2 linked regions of the Alligator mississippiensis genome follow. The protein of the gene in region 1 purifies or fractionates together with the protein of each later gene. This does not show direct contact. Links are inferred from orthologs where the notes say so. Each region holds a gene or a part of one and is shown on either strand. Other genes may lie near its edges.

Region 1 (10,588 bases):
CAAGCACGGCCCCCCGCCACGCAGGAAGCAGGGCCACGAGCCAGACACTACGGCCAGGGCCGGCAGATCTGCTGAGCCAGAGGCTGAGACTCCCGGCTTCCTTCCTGCCGTGGGAGGAATGAGGCGGAGAAGCTGGGACAAAGCTTGGGACACCTGGGTAGAGAACCCAGGTGTCCTGGCCGGGTCACGCCTTCTCCCCCAGGAGCAGGGACTTGCCCCTCTCACCCACGGGCAACTATCGGAGGCAGCCTTGGGCCTGACCGCACGTCCCGGGGCCGCCTGGAAAAGCCATCTCCGCTCCCGCGGCCCAGGGGCTTCCGGCTCCGGGCAGGAGGATGCGTCCGCAGCTCAGGAAGGCGGAAGGGATGGGGCCAAGGCCGGCAGGAAGCCACCTTCCGGAGGGCACCAAGACGTGCTCGGGCAGACGCCGGCAGCAGGGACAGGCAAAGCCATACCAGTGGTGCCCGCACCCCTCACGGGGCCGGGCAGCCAGCGGGGGATGCCCGCTGCAGCCTGCCTCAGTTTTCCCAGCTGTGCAAGGCAGCCACGCTCCCCCTACTGCCCACAAGGCTCAGCAAAAGCCACCTCTGACCCACTCTCACATCCCTGCACAGCTCCACGTCCGCCACCCAGCCTGTCCCTTCCGGCCACCCCCAGTGCCAATCCTGCTTTGTCACATGGCTGGGGCGGGGGAAACCGGACACCCCTCTCCCACACACATCATGAGGGCAGAGCAGCTGCCAGGAGCATGACAGCTTGGCCCCGTGGAGCTGAGGGCGCGATGACCAGCCTGCGGCGCACGGGGCAGGGGAGCCTGCGGAAGGAGGCAGCACAAGGGGTGCAGATGGTCACCCCCAGAGCAAACGCCTCCAAATCCAGCAGCACGGGGGTGGGGGGGGCAGGACGGGACCTCGCCAGCCTGTGCCTCAGCCTTGTCAAGCAGCTGTTTGCAGGCTGGGGGGGAGGAGGGGGGTTGGGGACGACAGGACCCTCTGTCCCCAGCTGCACAAGGGGCTCCAGGGCTCCGCACCCCACAGCACATGCCGAGCTGCCCCCAGGCTGGGGCAGGAGGTTGCATCCTCCCCCCACCCCCAGCAACTGGCTCCGGCAGCAGCTGCCTGCCACAAAGCCAGGCCTGTTCCCTGGCGGAGGCTGCAGGCTCAGGGTGGGGGGCAGGGACTGGAAGGGGCCTCCAGGGCAGCAGACCCAAGTCCATGGGCACCGTAACCCCCAAGGAACCCCCCCAAAAATCACTCTTGCCATGCCCCAGCCCCAGTCTGCAGGTTGCAGCATCAGGAAACCTTGCCTGTCCCTATCCAGGCAGGAGCCTCAGAGCCCCTGTGACAAGCCCACAGCCCCAGCCAGCATTGTGGGGGACCCCAAGAGCTTCTCCCCCCAGCACAGGGGTCCAAAGCAAGGGGAGCTCCTGCCTGGCGCTGTGGGGGGGTGGGAGGTGCAGGCATCACGAGTCGGACGCGAGCAAGGCGTCGCTGGGCCAAAGCCCCGGGGCTGGGAGCTCCCAGAGAGCAGGGCGCAGATGAATGAGAGCATCTGTGCGCGCCGAGGAGCGCGGTGCCGCTGAGCACAAAGGCGGCTTTATGGCCCCGGCTAAATGTTTGCCCAGGCTGGGCCAACGCAGCCGGAGCAAGGGGGTCTGCTCCCTGCGCCGAAGGAGGGGCTGCAGCACAGCCTTCCTCTCTCCTGTCTGTGCCCGGGGCCGGCAGGGCAGCTGAGCCACGGTCCCATGGAGAAGAGAGCAGCAGGACTCGTGCTCGAGTCTGGAGAGCCTCCATCCTGCCCCGGGAACGAGGCCTGTCTGCCTGGGGTGCTGGCAGCAGTGCGAGCTGCCCTGCCCGAGCCCAGCGCAGGCCCCCAGACCCTGCCGGGATGCCACCCGGGGCATCAGCCACGCACAGAGGTCCAGGAGGCACCTCCCCTAGCCCCACTGCCAACAGGCTGCCCCAGCCAGGGGTAGCAGCATCCCAGGGGGCCGGGTGGTCCCCCGCGCCCCCCCAGCGGGGAGACACAGCTGCGGGCCCCATGCCCGGAGCAGGCGCCAGCCTCACCTTTCACAATGCTGGAGAAGGTGGCTGAGTGCCGGGACACAAAGAGCTTCAGCTGCTCGTCGAGGTTGCAGGCAGCCACATCGATGTCCCAGGAGCGGATCCCTGCGGAGAGATGCCCGTCAGCACCAAGGGAGGGCAAATGGGGCACAGTGCCAATGCTTCAGCGGGAGCCAATCCCTCACTCACAGCCCAACCCTGGACAGAGAGCGGATGCGAGCCCCAGAGACCTTCTGCCTGGAGGTCCAAGCCCCTGCTCAGGCCTCTGGCCCCCTCCCCATCCCCCAGGAGGCTGCCGGATCCTGCTCCAGTGCGCAGGCCACAAAGCTGCGGGTGCAAGGATAGCAACCCGGGCACGCAGCCCAGGGCACTGCCACACAGGGGAGGCAGCAGCTGGGACACAGCAAGGCAGGGAAGGGAAATCTGGACCTCCAGCACCTGGGGGCACAGGGGGTCGACGGCACAGCTCCCTGCCAGGTGCTGGGCAGCGCAGACATCCAGGGCAACTAGGGCCCAGCACACGCTGGCCCCAGAGCACCTGCCAGGGGCACCCATGCACCTCCCATGCCCACGCTGGCCAGATGCCTGGCCACGCTCCGACTCCCTCCCCTTGCACGCGCACACAGACACACTGCAGGCTCCGGAGCTGCAGCACGTTCCGGGGAAGGGGGGCTCACGTCACCGGCTCTAATCCCCAGCCCAGCGCCGGCTTACGTAAGGCTCCGGCAATCCGAGCGGGGCAGGGCCAGGGCGGGCGGGAAAGCAGCTGCAGCTCCCGCGTCCATAGCCCCCTGTGCTGCCCTGCCCTGCCCCGGGCGGGTGTTGCTTGCCCATCCCTGCAAGTCCATCAAGCGGCAGTGCCCTCTGCACAGCACCATGCATTGCAGAGCAGCTCGCGGCACCCTCCTGGCACAGAGACGGGCACCCCCCATGCCCTCCAGCCTGCCTGTGCAGGGGCTGGGCACGAAAGGCCAGGCCACGCTGCTCTGTAGTGACCAGGGAGAGAAGCTTCTGCCTTGCGGGCAGGAAAGGCAGTGCCGCCCCCGCCCCCTCCACCCCAGCTTCCTCATTTACTACCGGGACGAACAGCGTGTGTCGGCGGGGTGGGGACCTTCGCTCTCCGCACGCACCGCACCAGAGCCCTGCAAGCAGGGACCCGGCGAAGGTCTGACTAGGGTGAGATGCTGCCAGGCTGGGGGGGCGCCCCTGGCAGCTCGCCTGGGCCACCGGCCCCCAACACCAGTGGCAGGGGCACGAGGCCAGGCCGGCTCCGGCTGCAGGACTGGCACAGGGCCGCCGGGAAGCGAGTCAGCCGCGTGGCCAGCCAGCAGCCTGTGGCTGGACAGTCAGCCCGTGACTCAGCCCCAGCCCCAGCCCCAGGCAACTCACGCGGGGCAGCCAGCCCCACGGTCAGCGTCCGGAGCGGGGCTATTATGCACAGGCAGGGCCGGGTCCGAGACCGGGGCTATCGCTTGCCCAGCTCGGTCACTGCCGTGCACCCAGCAGCCCAGGCCGCCCCCCGGGTCACCCGGAGCTCCCCCAAAACCCAGCAACGGGGAGACCACGTGTGGCACGAGCCAAACGTGCAGGCCAGTGGCACTCTGGCCTGGCACGAGTCCGGACACGCCGTAATCCTGCTCCTCCGAGCAGCCGGCCGTGACCCAGCGGGACCCTGGGCCTCCCACCGCCGCTAAGCCATTAAGTCCATTAACGAGGCAACCACAAGCCACCTGCCCACTGTCACGGCGCCTGCAGCCCCCACGCCCCTGCAGCCTCGTGCACAAGCCCCCGGCCCGGCCTGGCACAGGTCTCCCTTCGCACACGCCTGGGCCGAACCATGCCACGGGTCCACGAGCGGGCGGGCGGGCGGGCAGGCGGGCGGCAGCGCCGGGCGTGCCGCACAGCTCCAGGTGTGCTCCCCGACGCTCCTGCAGGAGACAGGTGCCTGCCCGCACGCCCCGGGGCCACGCACCTTGCACGCGTGACTCACCGCGCACAGCCAGGCAGGCGAGCAGCCCCTGGGGCGGCGGAGCCACCCCGCACGAGGCCACGGAGCCTCGGGGCCCCCCGCCCATGAACTGCTGCTCCCACCCGCACCAGTCCCACGAGCCAACCCGACACAGGCCCCGAGCGCCGGCCCCGCCGCGTGGCAGCGACCACGAGCGCTCCGGGAACCCCGCTCAGCCCACGGCCAGGCCACGGGTGGGGGGGGCATACAAGAGCGGCCTCCTCGCCCCCCCACCCCCCTCATCTCCAGTCCAGCGGAGCCAGGATGCAGTGGTGCACTGCCGGGTGCATGGCAGCCCCCGGGGGGGGGCAGCACCCCCAGTGCATCACAGCCCCACGGGGGGGGGGGGGGGTCAGGACCTCCCCCTCCAGTGCATTACAGCCGCATGGGGGGGGGTAGAGACCCCCTCTGCATCACAGCCCCACGGGGGGGGGGGGGGTCAGGACCTCCCCCTCCAGTGCATTACAGCCGCATGGGGGGGGGGTAGAGACCCCCTCTGCATCACAGCCCCACGGGGGGGGGGGGTCCTGAGACCTCCCCCCTGGGTGCAGCCCCGCCCCCGGCGGGGGAGGGGGGTGGGCGAGGAGGCTGCGGGCGGGGCCGGGCGGGGCTCACCTCGCTCCAGCTCGCCCAGCACGGAGCCCAGCAGGCCGGGCCGGCTGCAGCCGCCGCCCACGATCACGAGCAGCGAGTGCCGGCGCGGCCCGGACGCGCCCCCCGCTCCCGCCGCCAGCGCCATCTTCGGGGCCCCCGCGCCCCGCCCTGACGTCACCGGGAAACCCCGCCCGCTGATGTCACCGCTGCCCTTGTATGGGCCGGGGGTGGTGCCGCCGCTCTTAAAGGGGCAGGAGTCCCGCTGCGCGCCGCGCCCGGCCCGCCCCCGGCTGCGCCCCCTTCTGGCGCATCGCACCCCCCCCCAAGGGGTCCGGAGACCCCCCCCTTGTTGCACCCCCAGATGCATTGCACCCCCAAGGGGTCCGGAGACCCCCCCTTGTTGCACCCCCAGATGCATTGCACCCCCAAGGGGTCCGGAGCCCCCCCTTGTTGCACCCCCAGATGCATTGCACCCCCAAGGGGTCCGGAGCCCCCCCTTGTTGCACCCCCAAATGCATCGCACCCCCAAGGGGTCCGGAGACCCCCCCCTTGTTGCATCCCCAAATGCATTGCACCCCCAAGGGGTCTGGAGACCCCCCTTGTTGCACCCCCAGATGCATCACACCCCCAAGGGGGCTGGAGACTCCCCTTGTTGCATCTCCCCCTGGGTGCATGGTAGCCCCAGGGGGTCCAGAGCCCCCCCTTTGTTGCACCTCCAAATGCATTGCAGACCCAGGGGGTCCGGAGCCCCCCCGCAGGGGCAGACAGCAAAGGGCCCCACGTGGCTCCGGGGCAGGGACCGGGCTCTGCTCCCCCTGCATGGGTGGCCCCAGGCTGGCAGCTCCCATCCAGGCTCAGAGCCTGTCCAGGGGGAGAGAAAAGGCAAAGCCTGTGGGCACCTGCCCCTGCCCCCGCCTGCAGCCTCCTGCGCCCGGGCAGCTTGCACCTGCCCCTACAATCCCTGAACAACAGAGGGCTGGGCAGAGCTGGGAGCTCACATCACCAGCCCCGCTGCATGCAGGCTTTGTGAACCCGGGCCCAGGATGGAGATGCCACCACCTCTCGGGGTAACCCGTTACCCCCCTCCTCCTGAGAGAGGTTTTCCTACTCTCCAGCCTCAACTTCCCTTGCTGCAACTTGGGCCCGTTGCTCCTTGCCCTGCCCTCTGCCCCCCTGAGACCAGCACGGCGCGGCCTGCAGGGAGAGCTGCCTCCCGGGCCCCGGCCTGCGGTCTGCTGGAGATGGAGAAACTCCTGTTGGAGAAGAAACTGCCAGGAGAGGCGCGCAGCTGCCAACGGTCGCCGGCTCCTCGGCCACTTCTGCATTTCCAGCCGCAGGCTGTGTCGAGAGTGTCACGAATGGGGAGGGTGCAGAAAGGCGCCCCTCCACCGGCTCCTTGTCTGGTGCCAGCTCCATGCGGGGAGCCTCCGGCCCACGCGGCTGGGTTGTGCCTGGATTCCCGCCACTGGGAGTTGGCTCCGTGGTCAGACCCGGAGGGTGGTGGTGGACGGTCTTGGTGTGTGGTCACCAGTGGGGTCCCCCAAGGCTCTGTCCTTGGACCCATACTGTTCAACATCTCCATTAATGATGTGGACATTGGGGTCAGAAGCGGACTGGCCAAGTTCACCGATGACACCAAACTTTGGGGCAAAGCATCCACACCAGAAGACAAGCGGGTGATCCAGGCTGACCTGGACAGGCTCAGCAAGTGGGCAGATGAGAATCTGATGGTGTTCAACGCCGATAAATGCAAGGTTCTCCACCTTGGGAGGAAAAACCCGTAGCATCCTTATAGGCTCGGCAGTGCTACGCTGGCTAGCACTATGGAAGAAAGAGACTTGGGGGTCACGATTGACCACAAGATAAACATTAGCCTGCAGTGCGATGCTGCGGCTAGTAAAGCGAGCAAAACGCTGGCTTGCGTCCAAAGATGTTTCTCAAGCAAATCCTGGGGTTGTCATACTCCTGTTGTACTTGGCCTTGGGGAGGCCGCAGCTGGAGTACTGCGTCCGGTTTTGGGCTCCACGATTCAAAAAGGCTGTGGAGAAGCTTGAGAGAGTCCAGAGAAGAGCCACGCGCATGATCAGAGCTCAGGGAAGCAGACCCTACGATGACAGGCTGAGAGCCCTGGGGCTCTTTAGCCTGGAAAAGCGCAGGCTCAGGGGTGATCTGGTGGCCACCTATAAGTCTATCAGGGGTGACCACGAGGATCTGGGGGAATGTCTGTTCACCAGAGCGCCCCAAGGGATGACAAGGTCGAACGGTCATAAACTCCAGCAAAACCATTTCAGGCTGGACATAAGGAAGAATTTCTTCACTGTCCGAGCCCCCAAGGTCTGAAACAGCCTGCCACCGGAGGTGGTTCATGAACCTACATTGAACACCTTCAAGAGAAATTTGGATGCTCATCTTGCTGGCATCCTATGACCCCAGCTGACTTCCTGCCCCTGGGCAGGGGGCTGGACTCGATGATCCTCCGGGGTCCCCTCCAGCCCGAATGTCTGTGAAATCTGTGGATTTACTGCTCAGCGGGTTTCAGCAAGAGCGTCCCAGCATGGATCTGGTTATCCTTGCTCTCTCTCTAGAGCTAAATCTATAGCTGTACAGAAGCACACACACCTGTGCAAGCACACATGCACACGGGAACAGGCTTTCACACACACACAACCTTGGGAAACAATCCCATGTGACCTGGTGTTGCAAGACAGGTTGACCTAGCAGCTAGGGCAGGGGTGGGCAATTATTTTGGTAGAGGGCCGCTTACTGAGTTTTGGCAAGCCATCGAAGGCCGCATAACAGGGCAGATAAATATTAATTTTCTAAATTTTTTAGGGGCCCCGCAGGCCAGATAGAATGGCCTGGTGGGCCGCATCCAGCCCCCCGGCTGCATTTTGCCCACCCCGAGCTAAGGCAGACAGGGAGCCAGGACACCTGGGTTCAGCTTCCACAACTGCTCTCTGGTTGACCCTGGTCAAGTCACTTTGCTGGGTCTCAGTTCCCCGTCTGCAAACTGGAGCCAAGACTCCTTCTTGTTTCTGCTGGTGTGTTTTGTTTGCCAGGCCCGTCTCTTTCCACACAAATGTGCAAGCTCTAGTGCAATTGGCTCTGGCTCCTACTGCAACACCCACGACACAAGTGTGCCGACACTGCTGTGTGACCTCATGCTGCAGCCATGAGGGCAGATCTAGGCGCTGCAAGGCAGGCGTGCTGGCGTGTTCGCGTTGCCCCAGGGAACTGGCAGCCCAGCAGGCAGGGAACACAGGGTGGCTTTTTAGTGGCCTTGTTCCTGCTTGCAATGGGCAGCAAAGTGGTACCTTTGTGGGCAGTCCAGCAGAGAGAAGCGAAGGGCCAAACGGGCCGTGGCTACTGACCTCTTGCATGTGACTCTGGGGCAATAAGGGGGACAATTTGCAGGCTGAACTCACCAGTTATGGGGTGGAGATGGGTCCCGTGCATGTCCCAGCTGCTGGATGCCCAGGGCATGATCTGTGCAACTTCAATTTAAGTCCTGGCGACACGGAGAAAGCACTTACAGCCGTTGCCTCAGGGAAGGGGCCCTGCACCTGGGGAAGAAGCTGGGACGGAGGTAGCTAGAGCCACCACTGGAGACCGGCCAGGGAATACCATGGGATGGTCTGTCCAGAGCGGCAGCTGCCGGCTGGAGCCCTTAGCGCAGAAAATGCGATGGACAGCTGCCACCTGCCGATGGGACCGAGCGATGGAGCACTGGAGAGTCTCTATTACGTACATGCACATGCATGCACACACATGCACGCAGCTCCCCAGGTACAGAGGAAGTTTGCTTTTCATCTATCCCTCACCTTCTTCTTCCTATTTTACAGATGGCAAAACCGATGCCCAGGCAGGGGACAGGACTTCACCTAAAATCACCCCACAAGGGAAAAGAATCAGGGTCCAGGGAAGGGATGGGCTGGGAAAAGAGACAAGGAGTCCATGCAGGGGGAGGAGAGGGTTTGAGAGAGAGAGGGGAGAGCCTGGTTGAACTGATTAGCAATTGCTTGTGGGGGGGGGGAGGGGACGGGCATGGCTCTCTGGCTCCCCAAACCTCCTTGCACCCTAAGACGGCCTGAGACCAGGAGCCCCCCCAGCCCCGGAAGCTTTCCCTCCTCCCCACCCTCGGCATCCTCGCTAGCCCCCCAAGGGACCCCTCAGTACCAGCCCCCTGCTCCCCTCCCTGCCAGCCTTGATGTGGAGGGTGGTGGTGGGGCGCCGGGGCTCCCCGGTTCCTTGTGGGGGTGGGCAGAGGAACCTACAGAGCTGCTCGGCCAGGAGCCACCGGGCCGCAGCCTCCTCTGATGCCCCGGCAGCTGCTGCCAGATGCCCTGGGAGGAGAGACACAGATCACATCGCAAAGCCGCCGAGTCGTCCCGACAGGCTACCGGGCAGGGAAAATGCCAAAGGATCCAGAGCGCTGCTCCCCTGGCCCCGAGAGGCCTGGAGCGACGTGGCCCCATCTGCAGCAGGGTCGAGCGGGGAAGGCGGCTGCCTGGAGGAGCTGACCTCATCCTCCTTGCTCCAAATGTCAGCGGGCGGAGGGGGGGAGCGCTCGCTCCCCTCCGCAGAGCCATATGGCTGGGGGTGGGGGGCTGCCGGCTCGCTGGATGCAGGCCGAGCCCCCTGCTCTGCACAGCCAGACCCGGGCTTGCAGGCTCAGAGCTGGGGGAAGGCATCCCAGAGAGCAAGTGAGACCCCTCCCTGCTACCCCCTCGGTTGGGGACCCTGGGCCCCCCTGGCCTGAGCAAGCTGGACAGCAAAGGAGGGGCAGGGTGGCTTGGGCAGGCCGGGCTCTCGGGGTGACTTCTGGACGCAGGAGGGGGCAGACCTCCCAAGAGGGAGACTGTCCCGTTACCCCTTCCAGAAATGGCTCCCCCAAAGGCTACACAGTCTGGAAGAGCACCATCATTGCCTGCCCCGTACCACCCCCAAAACACTGGGGCTGACACTGATCCCACGACGTGCATCTCACTCAGCAATCACCAGCAGCTGGATCGCAGGTAGGACCAGACCCTGGCACCGATGCCGCGCAGCCCCTGGCCCGCATGGCCCAGGGCAGGCCAGTGTGCCTCAGTTTCCCCTTAAGTGAAGCCTCCCCGCACATCCATCAAGGAGGCAGGGCCCCGGCCGGACAGCGCTATCAATCAGCGGAGGGTTATTGGTCAGAGGGGACCGGGCGGGGAGGGGAACATGTGTTGGCTTCATTGTCTCTCCCCCCAGGAAGCACTTACTGGGAGCTGGCTCCGGGCCCTGGAGCGTGCGGCCCATGATCTCACTGCTTCCATAGCGATGGGGTGATGTCACCACCGCTGCTTCATCTCCTGGCCGGACTGGGCCAGCTGCTCTGGCCCCGGAGCCGCTCCGTTCAGCTGCTGCTCTGGCCCGCGCGGCGAGGCCAGGTCTGTGCTGGGCCCGAGACCCCCTCTCTGCACGCTCGCCTCCCGGCCAAACTGGGCGGCCCCACCGCGCTCCACTGCAGCCCGGCCGCGGGAGGCAGGCGAGCAGCTTGGCCTGGCAGCGGGGTCCGAGCCCGAGTGCCCCATCCTGAGGGCCACGCTCCAGGCCAGCTGTGGCCATGATTGCACTTCTGCATGGGTGTGGCGGTGCCCACTGGGCACTGAGCCCTGGGTGTGTCCTGTGCAGGGCATCTCCCAGCCTCGGCCAGCTCTGCCCCATGGAGCCAGTGCGTGCATGGCAGGGAGCTGCCTGCCTATAGCTCACCCTTGCCAGGGGAGCAGCCGGGGTGCAGGCTGCAAGAGGCAGGCGCCCGCGGTCCCGCGCTCCGCTCCTTGAGGAGGTTAATAGCCAGGGCTCCGAGCTGGAGGCCGAACCGGCTGCCTCTGGAAAGGCAAACAGCAGAGCCGAGCAGGGGCCACTCCGGCCTGACCTCAATCGTCTGCCTCTTCCT
Region 2 (9,765 bases), on another chromosome or scaffold:
ACACTAAAAACAGCTTTGAGTCTTACAGGGAGCAGAGTTTTATCAAACATATAGATCTGTATTTCCTCTGTGCTGCAGGAAACAGTTATATAGCCAAGGCACCAGAATATGTAGGATCATGTTCGGGTGCACTTTATAGATTCCATAATTAACAACATTGTGTCTACTGCTTCCTGAACAAATCTTCTGCTAGCTTATAGATTTAGACTATGCAAAGACTATGCTTTTGTAGGACAGGGGTTGTTCTTTTTCTTGCTCATTTTTCACTAGAAATTCAGAACTTGTTCATCCTGGAAAGACAGAGCGACTGGTGAGCTGGTATGATGGAGTGAAGGGGAATGGAAGGAAAGGAAATCAATGAAAGTATAATGCAATCAGTCAAGTTGGAAAGTGATGTTAACAGTAAATTAAAAAGTGACCTAACACCTGGAGTTGAAACACTTATGAGGAAAGATGCCTTGGTTAGAGGTTCTAAAACTTCTTAGTCCCTTCAGTTGCAGGGGTGGGAGAAAGAGGGGAAAGAACCATGCCAATTTTATGCATTACAAACCAACAAGAAAAATGCAAATTTCTTCTCTCTTTTGCATATCATCTTTAACATACTTCAGAATTACTGACCAAGAAGCTACACATAAATCACTATCAAGTTCTAAACAGCTCTTAAGCATACAAACACCCAAAACCACATCTTTTAAGATCCACTAAGTAGCCAACACATGCCATAAGAAAAAGTGCATCACCTATGAACTAAAAACAGTTATATTATGGTTACAGAAGACAAAGAGACTTTTGTAGCTCTTTATCAAGCAATTCTTAAGTCTCTACATTTGAATTATATAAAAAACCGAAATGCACATGGCTGCCTGCTGTTTATAAATAACATGAGCTGTTGTCATTAAACATGAAGAAAACGGGCACAGTTTGTACCTAAGATACTAAAAATGTAAAAAGCTTTTGTGAAGTTGCTGAAGCTAGGACTGGAAAGCACTCAATGTGCATCTGCTATTACGTCAATATGCAGAAGCCATATAGGAGAAGCAAGATGCACATGGGCTATACATACAATGGCTTCCTGAAATGAAGGAAACAGTACAAGCAAGCAAACTCAGGAAGTGGCGAAATACTGAAAGTCACTAGGCTCTTTGCAATGATAAGCATTAAACCAAAAGAAGGTTACTTGTTCTTGCTTGAATAACAATACCTAGTCACCATTACCAAATAGCTTGAAATGTAGTAATCTAAAGGGCAGATACTACAGAATAAAGTGTGTAGAATTAGATCCAGCCACACACCAATTCTACATGATTTTAGAAGATCCAAACATCACATGAGCTCTTCAGGAGCCAATTTATTGCCTATTTCAAGTGACACTAAGCTTCCCTGTTCCTGAACATATTCAGAAATTCAATGGTATTCTTTCAGCATCTAATGAGCCTGAATCAGGAGTGATCCAAATTATCTAGGACACCCTGTCTTTTACAGCATACCTTTTTATAGAGGGTTAAGATGGAAACAAAAACAATTTTGCTTTCTGGAGTGTTCACATCTAATCTGGGTCAGGTATAGTTAAACTTCCATATAGACAATTATATACTAAATTATAGGTAAACTAAACACATTACTAACAGCAGATATTTTGCTCCCTTGTCAGTTAAACTAGAACAAAAAAAAGAAAAGAAAAGAAAGCCAGCTGCTATCTGTCACAAAACAAAGGAAACTGCCTCTTCTGCTCATCTCTCAAACATACAGTTAGAAACAGCTGCACACCACCGATAGTGTTCTGACAGACTGAAACTTCATTCAATTGCTGAAGTGCTTCCAAATTATCCTCTGTCCAGAGTTGTTCAACAACAGTCTGCAGTGAAATGATAGGCTACTAACAGCTTGGTTCACATGTCTTTGAAATCCCAAACTGACACTGCCTGCACACCCAACAGATGTTACTTATCAGAAAAAAGTAAGAGCGAACATTAAGGAATGTTAGCAACAGTATACAAGGCATTGAACTGAGCTTCAAAGGATAAACATCCTGTCACTGCTAGCTTGCACTTTTAACTGCTAAATGGAATAACTAGGAGATTAGAAAATAAATCATTTCATTCCCCGCCCCCCCTTAATACACATGTAATAAATAGTGGCCTTTGTTGATGAGTAACTTTAATTAAAAGGGAAGACACAAGTGACTTCCAAAAATCAAAATTCTACTTCCTTAGACTAAATATGCCCTAGGCCTTTCCCAAACTAATTAAAAAGAAATTTAACATCTGATTTGACATGTCTCAGTCAGTCCTAAAAGGAAAAGTTGGGGGGTTTTTTTGTTTTTTTTAAGAGTACAGAATGAATCTCCTATTGAAAAATGGAAGATTTTAAGTCATTAGTTTTTCATGATCTAGCAAGGTTTCAGACCTAGTTATACTAGCATGTTGTCTGTCATTCAAAAGTCCTCTTAATTAGACTTTTAAGATTAACTCCCAATATTAACTCAATCTACAATTAGAGGGAAAAAATGAACAGATTCATATTGCTGGCAACTTTTCATACTTCTACACTTTCAGGGGTTCTTTAGAGAAGGTTTGACACCCCCCATTATTTCCCATCAGCTTCCGGTTTTGCTTGTGAACAATATGAGCCAAAGGTTGCAACAGAATAAATTACACATCAGTTGATCCATTTCTTCCTCTTGGCTACTTAAATCATCTGGTTGTGAATTGCTCTGTCTAGGCTCCACTGCTCTCATCCATAGTCAGAGATCATTGAACCTTAAAATAGACAGGAACATTGGCAGAACGCAGAGAGAACATGATAGATCTCACCTAAAAAAAGAGCTTTGTGCAGTTTTGCAAGAGATACACAAGGTTATCACAACAACTGCTACCCCAAAATACCCCGAAATATTTCTAAGGTATTTTAAAGGGTCACCAGCTTGACTTCTAAAATCACCGGGAAGTGAACTTTCCCAAATGTCAAAGAAAACATAATTGTCATAGGATCTATGATACAGTGCACGTGCACAGATGAAGATAAAGCCCTCCAAATATTCTGCTATAAGGAAATGCGAGTTCCCTTAGCTATCATCACTTGCCAGACTTAGTGCTTGGAGACCTAGAAGTAATTACAGGGCATTCAGAACTCCAGACGGATTTACTTATGACTAACAAATATATTCCACACCATATAAATGGAATAAGTGCATCAGCAACAAGGAAATCCCACAAGTTTTGCTTTCCTCCATGAAATATTTTAGTTGCAACTCTAAGCAATATATTCTATTAACTAACTGATGCTCCTTGCACAGAAAGGAAAATTGTGAAGACGCTACCTCAGTCATCTTAGCTGTACCTACTGGGTTTCAGAGAAAAAGGGTATTATTAAGAAGACAACATTAGGTCTTTATTTGGACTTACAGCAATGACCAGATTTCCCCTCCTTTTACTCCCTTTTTTTTTCAGTGCCTTGAATACCAAAGGTTTTGGATTTTCCTGTTGCCTTACATAAAAAGGCAGGTTAAGCTGGAACATTTCCTCGAGTTCCCGATACCTATTTAGACTGGCAACCCCCAGAGAGCAAATGACTCTTATTCTGTGAAGAGCTGTGGGAATTCAGCACTTCAACAATGCCTCTTTGATCATGCTAAGGCAGAGGTGTCTTAAACATCACGACTACAAAAGCACAGCTCTCGTTTCCATGATTGGCAGTTACGTTGCCAAGACTCCCGTTCCTTGCCATACTTGCATTCGGTAACGGTGACTCGGTGTTGTTATTCAAGCAAGAACAAGTAACCTGACAGGGCCCCGAGGCCTTTCTTGCTTCACCCGGCGCCTTGCTTTCTGAAATAAGTCCGGTTACAGGCTGGACACGGCTCCTGCGTGACAAGCCCGGCTCCCCTAACCCCACATAACAACAATACACCTGCGAGGATGGTTTGAAGAAGGGTGGAACCCACGACCAAAATCCCCAGCCAGCAGGGGAGCGACTCCTCCGGCTACAAACAAACGACCTATTTAATTCGGGGCTGATTAATTCGGGCGAGATCGGACACGCGTCAATACGCAACTAAGTCGCAGCAGCCGCGACTACCCCGCGGTGGGGCGTGGGGCCGCCCCCGGCCCCGGCGGAGGTGCTGCCACCCCGGGCGCTCGGAGCCGCGAGTCCCCATGACAACCGGGTCCGCCGGCCCGCCCCCGCCTCGCCTCGCCTCTCCTCACCGGCGCGGGTTGCGCAGCTGTACGGTCTCCATGGCGCGGCGGGCCCGTGCGGGCGACGGCGGGAGACGCGCTCACTCCGCTATGGCCATGGCCACGGTGCCTCCTCTACCTCCCGCTCCACCGGCTCCGCGCGGCTTCCGCTCCGCTTCCGCCTCCTCCGCCCCCACACGCCGGAAGCGTGGGGCGGGGCCGAACGGCAGTCACGTGGTCTCGCGGAGAGGGCGGGGCTCCGCGCCTCCTGCGGCAGAGGGGCGCGGCCAGGCCGCGGGACCGCCCCCAGCCCGAGGCAGTTTCCCAGAATGCGTCGCGCCCTCCTCATGGGCGGGTGTGACTCGTCGCGCGCGTCAGGCCAGGCTCCTGCACGCGCGGTGTCCAGCCAGCCCCGCCGCGTAAAAGATGCGCCTAGTTTCTAGCCCTGCCCCGCCCCGCCCCAGCAGGGAGCCGGGCCCGGCCTTTCCCCGCCCCGCTGTCGCGAGACCCTGCCCCCGGGGGCGGGGCAGGGGCAGGGGCAGGGGCGGGGCCGAGCAGAAGCCGGCGGAGCTGCCCCGCCCCGGCTAGGAGCCGGCAGGAAGCGGCGCCCGGAGCCCCCGGGGAGCAGCCGACGCCCGACTGCGCCTGCCGGCCCCATGGCCCCCGAGCCGCGGGTCGCGGCGCTGCGCAGCGCCGGCAACGAGCAGTTCCGCAGCGGGCAGTACGGGCAGGCGGCTGCGCTCTACAGCCGTGCGCTGGCGCTGCTCGAGGCAGCAGGTAGGGGCGAGAGGAGGGCCCGGCTCGCCCTCTGCCTCCCGCCGAGCCTGGGGCAGGCAGGGGACCCCTCCGCGGGACACCGCGCGGCTGTGAGCTGAGCCCCCCCGCGCGGTTCCTGCCAGGTGCGGCCCCCTGGCCCGTCCGTCCTCCCGGGGCGCGCCAGGGCGGGGCAGAGCTGCTAGAGCAGGGCCCCTCGCAGCAGCGCGGCTCTGCCGACTCCCCCCGCGCCTTCGGTGGCCCAGTTTAAAAATAGTGCCGCGCGGTGGAGGGCAGCCAGCGGGTGACCTGCTCTCGTCATTGCGGAGGTAACGCGCGTTTGGCCGGCTGGACCCGCGGGGAGCGGCAGCCTCCTTGCCACAGTGCGGGTTGTTGCCTTATATGCAGAGCCCAGGCTCCTCGGCCTCTTGTCGGCCCGGATCAAGCACAGTCCTAACTTGCCTGGCAGGGGAAATGCCATGATCACTAGGCCTGTGTGAAACGGCTGGTATTCGCTTCGGATTTGGCCCATTTGGGGGACAGTGATTTGATTAAATGATTCGAATCGCTGTCCCGATTAGATTCCGCCAAATCTGATTCGGAGAGTCGGCAGCAGCCAAATTTCTGAATCAGCCAGGCCAGGCCCATCCCCAACCCCTCTCCCAGGTGGCAATGGCTGCCCCAGCTCCCAGCACTAGTAAAAAAATAAATAAAAAGCCCTGGATCACCAGGTGTTCCTGGGTGGGGGGTGATCCCTGCTGCCCCTCGCTGCATGGGGGCATGCTGCATGTCTCTGCATGACCCCCCCACCCCCCTGACCCTCCCCCTCACTCCTCCAGCCCCTTCCCATGTGTGCACCTCACGGGCCAGCTCTGGCCCTTTAAGGAAAAAAAAATGGAAACAACCCTGGGACTGGCTGCTGGGGGGGGCAATCCCCACACCATGCGGGGGACTCTGCGCAAGACCCCCCAGCTGCTGCAGGAGCAGTGAGTCTGGGGCTTTTCTCAAGTTTTTTTTTTTTTTCTTAAAGGGCTGGAGCTGGCCCAGGTGAGGCACCCGTGGGGGGGGTCGGGGGGCTTGTACAGAGCCCCCCGTGGGGCAGTGGGGGGGGCAGCAGGTTTGGACCCCCCCTGCTCAGCAGCACCCAGTGAGCACCGGGGCTATTTTATTTTTTTTAAAGTACTGGGAGCTGGGGTGGGCGGGAGCAGCCATGGTGGGGGGGGGCTGACCAGGGTCCCCTCCATGGTCCCCTCCCCCAGCCAGCCCCTCTTCCCCTGCCCCTAGTACTTACCAGTTCACAGTCAACTGCAGCTCCCTGCTGCAGCCACTGGGGACTGCCCAAGTCATCAAAGCTTTCCAAAGCTTTTCCGAAGATTTGGAGAGCTTTGAGTCGATTCAGACCTTTAAATTGGTCCCCTGATTTGATTCGGATTCTGAGATTCGGCCGCTGAATCGGGCCAAATCTCCTCCAGATAGAATCACTACCCAAAGCTTCACACAGCCCTGATGATCACCCTGGTGGCTTCCTAGTTGCACCTGGGGAAGACCGCTCTGCTGGCATGGAACAGTATCTGCATAGTTAATACATAGTTAACCCTGGCTTTATGCCCACCTTATGGAAATGGGAGACTCCTCCCTAGCTTGCTTCTGGGGCCTTATGGCTAAGGGCAAGCAAAACTTGGAGGCATCCAAACTCCTGGCTTGGGCCTGCAAGTAGGATGCCCACCAAAGGATTCGGGAACATCTGAAGACCCAGATGGGGGTGGAAGATGTTTGCCAGTAGTAGGGGCACCTATGGTTCTGGACTGACTCTCGAATTTGGAATTTGTTTTGGCAAATTTGGCTTGGAATTATAAAAATGTTCAGAAAATTATAAATTTGGCTTGGAATTATAAAAATTATAAAAAATCTTGGAAAATTATAATAATTAAAAAAAAATCACAATCCAGCCATGGCCCCACAGCACAACATAAACCCAGATGTGGCTGCCAAGGTCCCAAACTTGTTCCATCATAAAGTTGCTAGGGGCTTTTCTTTTTAAACCTTCTACAGGCTCATGTGTTCTGCTGTTGAGTGCTGTCACTACCAGCTGCAGCAATGAAAAAGACAGAATTATGAACCGGGAAACTAGAGACTGGGATCTTCTGAACTCTTAAGCCTAGATCTGATCCACATCGGGATGATCATTGTTTGCTTCTTTGGGGAGACTGACAATTAAGTACCTGATGCTTTGAAGATGAAAGATGAGCTTTATTGCTGGTACTGATCAGTAACTTTAGCAGTTGAGCTTCCAAATGGCTCTCTTGAGCCATACTTCAATATCTGTGAGATCCATCTTATTTTTAGTACCCCTTTTCTGGTGTAAGTAGAAACATCTAATACAGGAATTGGCCATAGCATGCACTGAATATATTGTCCCACATTTCCCACCTTGAATTTATCTTCTGTTTTTGTTTCTGCTCCTAGGGGAGAAGGATGCTGAGGAAATGAGTGTCCTCCATTCAAATCGAGCTGCCTGCTATCTGAAGGATGGGAATTGTAGCCTCTGTGTTAAGGACTGTACTGTGTAAGTAGCTGTTACCCAGATGAAAACCTAAACCGTGTTTTTGTTGTGAATGAAATAAGATAGTGTGTGGTTACCAACTGGGCCTTTCATTTAAGACTATTGGGAGGAAAAGTTAAGTACCTTTAGGGAACCATATAGTAGCCTCCATCCCAAACACTGGCATTGGTCAGCCACCCATAGCAAAACACATATGGGCGAAGCATTTTGCTTGGCCTTTTGTTGTTGGTGTCATTTAAACAAGGTGGGGAGAAGATGTCAAATTCATTTGCTTGAAGCAGTACAAAGGCCTCTCTTCCTTGCTAACCATGTATACATTACTTTTATTTTTTAATTTTTTAATACTGTTGAATTGGCCTTCCATTCCCTACTCACTCCTGCAGGATCATTCCCTACCTAAACCTTTCCACAGCTCTACATCTTTAGTTGTTCTGTAGCACAGCTGAACTGCAACCTGTGTCCATAGCCCTTGTCCCAGCATACTTTCCTGCTTTTGGTTTTGTTTATTCTGAGAAAAAAGTGACTGTCACTGGGAGATAGAATTAATATCTTTCTTCCTTTGTCCCCTGGCTACAACACTGCACACCTGAGAGATGCAGAAGTTCCCCATTCACTTCTGCAGGATCATTCCCTGTCAAGCAAATATTTCCAAGGTGCAATTCTGTAGTTTCAAGGTTGTGCCTTTAAAACTTAGTCATGAAAAGCTGATACCTGACAAACCCCCAGTCCATCAAGTACACCAACCTTCTCCTCTCTGCTGAACTTAACTCAGGTGGCCCAGTGACCTCTCTTGCTTCCTCCCCCTGATACAGTGCACTGGACCTTGTTCCTTTTGGAATCAAACCTCTGTTGAGGCGGGCAGCAGCCTATGAGGCTCTTGAGAGATACCAGCTAGCCTATGTGGACTACAAGACTGTATTGCAGATTGACTGCACTGTACAGGCTGCACATGATGGTGTCAACAGGTAACTTCTAAGTTTATACTGTTACACAAGCCAAAATGGAGGCTTGACAATACAGGCAGCAGCCTGGGTCACTCACAGCCCTGCTTTTAGGATGGTTGCTCATGGACAGGTTGGGTGACTTTGGATTCTGGTTAAATAGCAGAAACCCATTCATCTTCTACCCCTATGCTGTGAATTCTTTAGTGTTAGTGTTGTTTGCTGTCAGCCCTGCAGCTCTCTGTGCCCTTTATGCTACTTCCCTCCCTTCTAGCTGGTAAATGATACACTTGACTGTTCACACTTTCAAGCATTTTGCACACTGTTTATTCTTGAGCAGCTAATGAATGATAAGTGGTCATGATTCAATATTTGCCCCCTCCCCATTCTTACAGGATAAATATGAGTAAATATGACTGCAGTAGGCTTGACTCAACAAGGTCCACGATTAATGACAGGTACCTAAACCTTGCCACAGCTCTACATCTTCATTTGTTCTGCAGTACACTTCATAGCCCCAATCCCAGCATATGTTCCTGCTTTTGGTTTTGTTTCTTCTGAGAAAAAAAAGTCCTCTCTCTGAAATCTGGTTAGTAGGAAGAGCCTCTCTCAGCTTTTCATAAGGGGGCGGATGTGAGATGTGGGGACAAATTCCACAGTACTTAAGTTGCCAAAAGAGGCCCTGAACAAGGGGAATGAGATGATTCTGTAAAACAAACTTCTCTCTGTAAAAGCATCTTGTGAAATGTGAAGGAAGGAATAGGGTTAGATTAGAAATGGTTCCAGTCAAGCAGTCTTATTAAGCATCCTTTCTGAATGGCAGATACAGATGTCCTGTATTTACTTCCCTCTCTGGTTCTCCTCATGAAGATGCATGGCCTCATGATTCAGGAATAGGGCAATGGGAGATCTGGGTTCCGGTCCTATTCCTGACTTGATTTGTGACCTTGGACAAGACGCCTAACTCCTTGATTTTTCCCATATGTAAAATGATGTTTCTCATGTGCTCAGCAACAGCACTTGGATACATCAGTGTGTTCTGTCCATAGATCACTTTGCTGTAGGACAGAGTTCTTAGGGAGAAGTCAGGCTTCCCTGGAATGACTTGGGTATCAGCTCTCTAATTGTACTTACTCCTGTAGTAGCAGGCATGACTGCATACTTAAGTAAATGTTTGAACTACTCAAATGACAGGCAGTAAAAAGAAGCAGTTCTATTAAAGTCCCATTCTTCCAGCTGAATCTCACACATGGGGCTGGATGCACAGCAGTGCTAGTAACTGTTGGCAAGTGGTTAGTTAGAGGCCTGCTGGTAGACTACAGGCCTGTTCTCA

Evidence for each region. The genes of interacting proteins can lie anywhere in the genome.
Region 2: the proteins of MAP1S (region 1) and STK4 purify together in Homo sapiens (affinity purification with mass spectrometry; 3 studies listed by BioGRID and IntAct, with this or other methods). This does not show direct contact. The link is inferred for Alligator mississippiensis from reciprocal best matches to the Homo sapiens genes MAP1S and STK4.

What each region holds. Positions count from the first base shown.
Region 1 is NC_081839.1:2,079,896-2,090,483, forward strand, and holds the start of MAP1S (microtubule-associated protein 1S), read right to left. Parts: upstream 4,844-10,588; 5' UTR 4,811-4,843; coding exon 4,687-4,810; intron 2,169-4,686; coding exon 2,067-2,168; intron 1-2,066. UniProt on the Homo sapiens protein: Microtubule-associated protein that mediates aggregation of mitochondria resulting in cell death and genomic destruction (MAGD). Plays a role in anchoring the microtubule organizing center to the centrosomes. Binds to DNA. Plays a role in apoptosis.
Region 2 is NC_081832.1:16,837,717-16,847,481, reverse strand, and holds the start of STK4 (serine/threonine-protein kinase 4), read right to left. Parts: upstream 4,450-9,765; 5' UTR 4,238-4,449; coding exon 4,206-4,237; intron 1-4,205. Other genes in the region: TOMM34 (mitochondrial import receptor subunit TOM34), read left to right, coding at 4,832-4,952, 7,395-7,494, 8,304-8,456. UniProt on the Homo sapiens protein: Stress-activated, pro-apoptotic kinase which, following caspase-cleavage, enters the nucleus and induces chromatin condensation followed by internucleosomal DNA fragmentation.